Solanum lycopersicum: one gene and its partner. The protein of the gene in region 2 interacts with the protein of the main gene of each other region in a pairwise test. Links are inferred from orthologs where the notes say so. Each region holds a gene or a part of one and is shown on either strand. Other genes may lie near its edges.

Region 1 (3,759 bases), on a different chromosome or scaffold from region 2:
TAGCTTTGGGCTCGAATTCTATATCTGTGTTGAAAAGTTACTAGATGTACCAGAAAAGTCAAGGTTGGTCGTAGTAATATCCCAAACTTGAACCCATAATGTCCAAATCCTGAATCTGCCTCTGATCAACTACGTTAACCATTGGTCCTGTTACTGGTTGTCCGATGGTGGTTGCTCCATATATACCAACTCCAATGGGAGCAATTGGTGCTGTTGGAGATAGTTTGTTGGATTTGCCAGAAGAACCAATTGTTTGGCCAGTGATTGGAACTCGAGGTACGGAGACATCTCCGTTATTAACACTAGTAATGTCATGTATACTTGTTCGTCTTCTGTCCTTGTTCATCGAGTTTAAACGTATGAAATATTTTTGGGCATGACTGGCCACTTGTGTAGGAGTTCTTGTCACAACAAAGTTTCGAGAGATACTTCTCCAATCACCTTTCCCATATTTTTCCAGTCCAAGAAGGAACAATCTGCATACCAACAAAGATAAAGCAAATGAAGCAAAACTCTGTCAGTACAAAATATCGGGAGGATGTTAAACGGTATCTAGAATGCAGAAGACGTCAGCAAGAATATGCATCTTCAATTATTTTCTCTGCAGCCATGGTTCTTACAGCCAACAAAATGAGAAGTCCAATTGCTACAAAACAAGATCCAGTTTCAGGAATTTCAAGTACAACACGCAGTTTAGGATGGAAAGGTGAATCCAAGTGAAAAACCATTGTCCGATTAAAATGCAGGTAGCTTGAATTGGACAAAAAAAAAGCTCTAGAGATTAGGAAAAGATGCATCAGCCTGTAATTACTGTACTAATGCATAAACAGACATCTTTAATCTTAACATTCAGACACGCGAAAACCCCTGAATCACTTAGAATGTTTCTCTATCGATCACATCTCCCATCGAAAGAGAATTTTCTGAAAGTGACAGCAGGATAATACAGTTTAACAAATGTCTGCCAACAGCTTAGTTAGTCCTATTACTTCATGAAGTACACCCTCATAACGACAGTCGACAGTCACTACGTTTCCAGGCAAAGAAAGTTTTCGGCAGAAGGCGCATAAAGCTAAGTTTGATAAGATTATATTCACTGAAACATGAAGGGAAAAAAGAAACAGAAAGTACCACTGCACTCTCCTAAATGACATGTAGCAACCTCAAACACAAGGTATGAAACTCATGAGTTAGTGTTCTGACTTACACTCCAGCGTTACCCGACCCTCAACCTATCGAATGATGGTGGAGGTGCTCGACCACTTGAACAAGCCTCAATTGTCTCAAACAAATATACAATAAACAAGCTTAATATTGTATTGAAATAACTGAAGTTCAACGGTTACTGACCTGTGCTCATCCTCCGTCCAAGCAACCCCTTTACGCCGGTCCTGCTCCAATTTAGTAGATTTACCTCCATCATTTGACTCACTATTTAGCCTCCCTGAAACCCCACTCTTCTTGCCAATTCTTTCACCACCAACATCATTGCACAAAGACCTGTCAAAAGTAGAGTTGTACCAAGGCAAAGGAACATAACCAGACTCGATTCGACTCACATCATCGAGTAAAATTTCGTAATGATTCTTAACCTCTTGTAAGGTTTTCCCTTGAACATCAGCTGCAATTTTCTCCCACCTATCTACACAATCCTCAGGATAAGTTGCTAATGCATTCTCAAATTCTATATCTTGCTCTCTGCTCCAAATTGAGCTTCTTGATTTATCTACTGTCATTCTTGAAATTCACTATCAAACTTTTTCACTGAGACATTTTATCAAACAGGTACTATGCATTCCCATAAAAAAATCTTGAAAATTCATTTCTAAGCACATATATATACACCAGTACACTGCAACAACAACTACGCCATGCTAGTTGGGATCGACTATATGAATTCGATTTAAATTAGCATAATACATAAATATAACCTTTAATTTGGTTTCGAATCACTTTTATCTCATTCAACTTTCAGCGTGCACAAGTAAACACTTAAACTTATATAAAGTTGAACAAATAGACACACATGTCTACATGTCATCCTACATATCATTTTTTATCCTACGTGTATAGTATCATGTATGCTCACGTGTTTATTATTTAAAAATTTAATAGTTAAATAATTGTTTGAGCATTTAAACTCAAATTTAAAATCTAATATATATATTATGTCATTTAAATTTATCTCAACCTAACAAATATTATACTAAAAACAATTAAAAAATTATGATTGGAAACAATGTATTAGACCAATGAGGTCAATAATAATAGAAACAAAAGGGTACCAAAAATAGAAAAATATACAGTTGAGCAACTCAAATAAATATTATTGGGTACCACAACTTTATTTATAATTATTCAAAATTTTGACATTTTTGGACTGGTGACCCTATTGATTAAAAAACGCACCAACTTTATTGAAAGACTGAAAAATACTACAAACATTTATGTAATGTTCGTCTATTTTTAATTGTCATAATTTTTATTTTAGAATCAAAGATAAGTATTTAGATTAATATTTTATGATATATTTTTTCATCAAATTAATATGTAAAAAAATCATAAAGTATAGTATTTTTAAATTTTTTGTTTAAAATATTAAATTAATTCAATATAATTTTACTTTTAAGATTAGTTAAATTGACTTTCGAAAAGTATAACATGATAATTAGAAGTAGACGAGAGGAGTAGCTTTAATAGCTACATCGTTGGTACTATTAAAAAATTATATATCGAATGTTTGTGCATTTTTAAAGGATCTGTCATAATTCAATGATAATTAAGGTTGTGAATTTCGAATATTTGAGGTCTATAAAGGAAATAGATAGATTTAATAGTTACGTGGTTCATTCTTTTCAAAAATAATATATTGAATGTTCGTGTATTTTTAAAAGATATGTCATAATTCAATGTTAGTTAAAGTTATGAAATTCGGATATTGAGCGACTAAGTGAAATTTCGTGGAGTTTTGAAAGAACTTATTGATTTATTTAATGTTATTTTTAGGAAATGAAAATGCTTAAAAAATAGTAGTGAGTACAATGAATAAGTTGTGCAAAAGAGATATTTTGGATTATAATACTACAGGACTAAGGACGGCATACACTGTATCTTCTTTAACAGTAGCAGATGTTTAGGACAACGAAAATGTCCAAAGAATGAAGTTGGTGTATAATGATTACGTAGTATTAAGGTCTGCATTTGAAATTTGAACTTGACGTGAATTTTAAATTTTTTGTACCACTAAGTCAGTCTCTACTTTATATTTAGCGAATTCAAAATCTTTACATATATATTTAAAAGATTACCTTATATCTGTATCGTGTGTTTTTTAAGAGGTTCAGATAAATACTTTATAAGACTCTAAAGTCGTTCGTATTTCCTAAATTCAATTCATAAAATTATATTGAATATATTATGGTAATTTGATTAAAGAGAAGTGAAAGGGACTGCAATGAATGAAACCAATAAAAAAAACAGTATTCAAATAATCATCAACAGGCAAAAATCCCATGTTGATAACAACTGTTTTGCCAGTAGTACAGGCCCCACTTTCTCATCTTACTGCAGTAAAACTAACCTTTTCTTTTTATCGAGACATGGTATGATATATATCGAATTATTATATCATATTAAAAAAATTTAATATTATAATTTTTGTATTATGATATACATTTTAATTTTTTTTTTATATATTTTAATATGATATCTGATATTTAAAAATTGAAGTATGTAACAAATATGCAACATAGCATAATA
Region 2 (3,759 bases):
ACTAAGTTATTTTCAAGTTGCGGTGTGCAGATTCGATTCCCGTTATTTGACTTTTATTTTTTCTTTTCATTAAACACTTTTATAAAGTTTGAAAATAAGTATTTAATTTAAATTTAATAAGCAAAATCTATTTTTTTTCTTTTCATTGAAAATTTAAATAAAATTTAAAAGAAATTATTTAATTTAAAGTTAATAAGCAAATTTTATTTATTTATTTCATAATGCTACTAAAAGTGAAAATACTTTATATAAATTCTCTTTTAATATAACTCATTTGATTCTATTTTTTATTTTTCATTTCTCGTTGTTGGTCATCAGAGGTTTGTGAAATCTTGGAGTATAAAAGTGATTTTACTCTAAACTAAAATATCTTTTTTTTTGTTCGTTCACTCTTATGAGATAGATAAACGTAAACATTAAAGCTAAATTAGTATGTACTTTGATTTCAAAAATTTTGGTATATTTTAATTTTAAAAAATAATAATTAATATTTTGTAGTTTGATTTACAAAATTTAAAGACACTCATTTTTTAAATTATTTTTACGAGCTATAAAATTTTTAAATATCCTTCATAAAATTTTTAGCTAAGCTATTAATATATATATATTTATAATGTAATTTTACGACAAAAAATATCCAGTGTGACTGTAGACGAGGTACATATTTAAATGATAAATGAATTCTAGAATCAACTATTAAGAATTCTTATGGGATGACTAGAATACATATGATTAATCTTTAATAGAAAATTTTATGACAAATCTTGTGATTAAAATAATCTATCGTCATAATTTTTTTCTCTGTTGACAAAATCTCATCACTCGGTTCTATCTCTCTTTAATTTTTTAAATATTTATTTTTACGTAGAAATCTTTGATGTCAACAAAAGGAAAAATTATTAGAAAATATAAGTTAACGCGTTTGGATAAAATTTGACAAATAAATTTCAAAATTTACAGGAATACTCTCTGTTCCTTATTCAAAAGCCTTCTTCTTATTTAAAAAAAAAAAATAATAACTGTATTTTTAATTAATATTTATATTCTCTCATTTCAATTCATTTATTTTATTTTTATTTTAACACAATTTTTTTAAAAAATAACATTATTTTTTTCGAATCTCATTTCAATCTAATGCAGCGTAGCAATAGCAAAGTAAAAAACTTTGACTAGCTATGAACAAATATTCTTTTAAATTATGTGAATTGCGTATAAAATTAAATATGTAATTTTAATAGATAATATATTTAACTTCTATACATCACATATTAATTTCGGTAAAACATATATACGCATTATACCTTATCTAAAAATAGCTTCAGTTATAATTTTGCAATTTTAAATATATCATATAAAATTATAATTAAAAAATTATTTTATAAAAAATAAAATAAAATAAATAAATTGAAAGCGGAAGAATTTATTTTATTTTATTTTATTCGTAGACAGGTCAAAAGACATTTATTCCCAATATTTAACAAGAAGAAAAAAGGAGATGTAAGAAAAATATCCAAAAACCAATCTTTTGAAATCTTGAATTTACCCAATTTCTGTCGGAATTTTCGCTCAGATTTCCATTTGAATTCCAACCCATTTTCAGATAATCTCAAGTACCCTTCACTGTATATTTTTTTTTTTTCGTGTGTGGGGATATATATATTATAATAGAGGGGTACCCTATCTTCCAGATTTGTTCATTGACTGGTAAGAAGATTGCTTTTTTTTTCTTTATCCAATTTCTTGGGGGGTTTTCCCTTTTAATTTGGTAGGCTAAACATGATATTTTTTTTTACTTTTCAATCATGTTTGTGATGGGTGTAATTGATTGTGGATAAATTTTGGTTGGTGGGTAGGAAGAATTTGGGGCAAGGGCTCTCGTTTTGGTTAGCTCTAGAAATTACCTAGCTTTTTCTTCCTCTGCTGAGATTTGAACCTGGTTGATGAGCCACACTCATGGTTATGGGTGTTTGATTAAACAATTTTTTTTGTAAGATTTGTGTTTGACCCGTCTTAGCATGAAAAACTTGATATAGGAATTTTTCTTGTGTGTATAATCTGTGAATCCTGAGAAAAAAGATTGTAGCTTCAACCATTGGATGAATAATTATGAAAGGAACTTTCTTGAAGAAAAGTATTTATTGTTCTCTTTCATTTTGTCAAGCAGGAAGAATAAATTTACCTCACAGATCGGCAGAAATTAGCTCTTCTACCTCAGACGACTCGATATTCAAACAGATTGAAAGGTGAAACCTTTTTGTCTCAACAGAGATTGTTAAGACGAAGTTCATTGTTTCATGATGGACTTTTAGATTTATTACAATCTTGAGAACTGTAACTCAAAGATCATTTTGCAATTTAGTTTGTGAGCTTGCCATTACTATTTGGTTAATGTTTTTTGTTCGACAGATATGCAGAGTCAGTTGATGTGCAGTGGGTGCAGGACAATGCTTCTTTATCCCAGAGGAGCTTCTAATGTCTGCTGTGCAGTGTGCAATGCACTCACCCCTGTCCCACCACCTGGTATCTGTGCTTTTCTTGATTCTGATGTGGTTATAAGTACTTTTTTTTTTCTTTCAAATTTGTGTGGCTGATTTTTGGATTATGGCCCCCTTCCATGTTGATTACAAGTGTTGTTGCTAGAAGATTGTTGTTAGGAAAGAAAATTAGTGCACTTAAAAACATTTTGAGTATCTAATAGTAACGCTATGCTTGATGCTGACATGGTAAATAAAGCCATAAAGTGGGCTAGGTTTGGGGAGGCTTGGTGTATAGATCTGTTTGGATTGAGATGTAGTATTGTTTGTTGTTTTGCCTTGACATGGATTGAAGCGTAGTTGTTATTGTGTTCTGTTACTCGAAGGTGTTGCTTAAATTTTGATCTTTCTCAGGAATGGAAATGGCTCAATTGATATGTGGAGGCTGTCGTACATTACTTATGCATCCACGTGGAGCGAACAGTGTGAGATGCTCCTGCTGTCATACGGTGAACCTTGTCCCAGGTACAGTTTATAACATCCCTTCCCTTGATTTCGGAGACTAATGTTTGTCTGGTTATGAAAATCTAGTGTCTCTTTGCTGGAATGAAATGTTTCCTTCATTTGAACAGAATATGAATCTAACTTTTGATATTATCCACTTAAGCTTGACCTTCGGTTGTTTTCATTTATCATATGAGATCTTTTTCCTACATATTCATCAAAAGTTTATCATATGAGATCTCAAATTGAGATACCAGCATTTTTATTCTTGTATTACATCAGAAAAATCTGTTGGAAGAGTAACATTACTTTGATGATCTAACTATGTAATACATAAGTGAACATTTCGGTATGGTTGTGTTTTTAGTTGAACTATGTTATGACTTATGAGTTTAGAGTGTGGTCCCAGCTGAAATTCACAACTTTCGAGCACTTCAAGCTTTTGCCTGGGGGAAGGGAGCTGTATAAATTTATGTCTTTGTCAGACTTGGTGGAATATGGTTATGGGATCACCAAAAAGCTTCATTATTGTATGTTTGTGTTATGTTTTTTCCTATTGATGCTCAATTTATCAGAAGTTTTGCCTGACAGATAGGTGTAAGTCCAATTGATTTCTCTTGAGTGTGGTTATTCCTCGAAAATAATAACCTGATCTGGTGCTCTTTGTAAACTAGTAGCCAGTCACATAAGATATAGATATCTGCTGTTTAATCTTCTTATCAGCTTTACTTTTTGGTCATATCTGCTTCATTTTGCAGCACATCTGTAATTTGCAAACAGA

Evidence for each region. The genes of interacting proteins can lie anywhere in the genome.
Region 1: the proteins of protein LSD1 (region 2) and transcription factor SRM1-like interact in binary tests that used the Arabidopsis thaliana proteins (3 or more experiments, as listed by UniProt). The link is inferred for Solanum lycopersicum from reciprocal best matches to the Arabidopsis thaliana genes LSD1 and AT5G08520.

Annotation. Positions count from the first base shown.
Region 1 is NC_090803.1:3,079,684-3,083,442, reverse strand, and holds the start of transcription factor SRM1-like, read right to left. Parts: upstream 2,321-3,759; 5' UTR 1,737-2,320; coding exon 1,351-1,736; intron 477-1,350; coding exon 59-476; 3' UTR 1-58. UniProt on the Arabidopsis thaliana protein: Transcription activator that coordinates abscisic acid (ABA) biosynthesis and signaling-related genes via binding to the specific promoter motif 5'-(A/T)AACCAT-3'. Represses ABA-mediated salt (e.g. NaCl and KCl) stress tolerance.
Region 2 is NC_090801.1:55,747,829-55,751,587, forward strand, and holds the start of protein LSD1, read left to right. Parts: upstream 1-1,286; 5' UTR 1,287-1,704; exon of another isoform or gene 1,705-1,987; intron 1,988-2,161; exon of another isoform or gene 2,162-2,164; 5' UTR 2,165-2,243; intron 2,244-2,406; 5' UTR 2,407-2,408; coding exon 2,409-2,520; intron 2,521-2,888; coding exon 2,889-2,999; intron 3,000-3,759.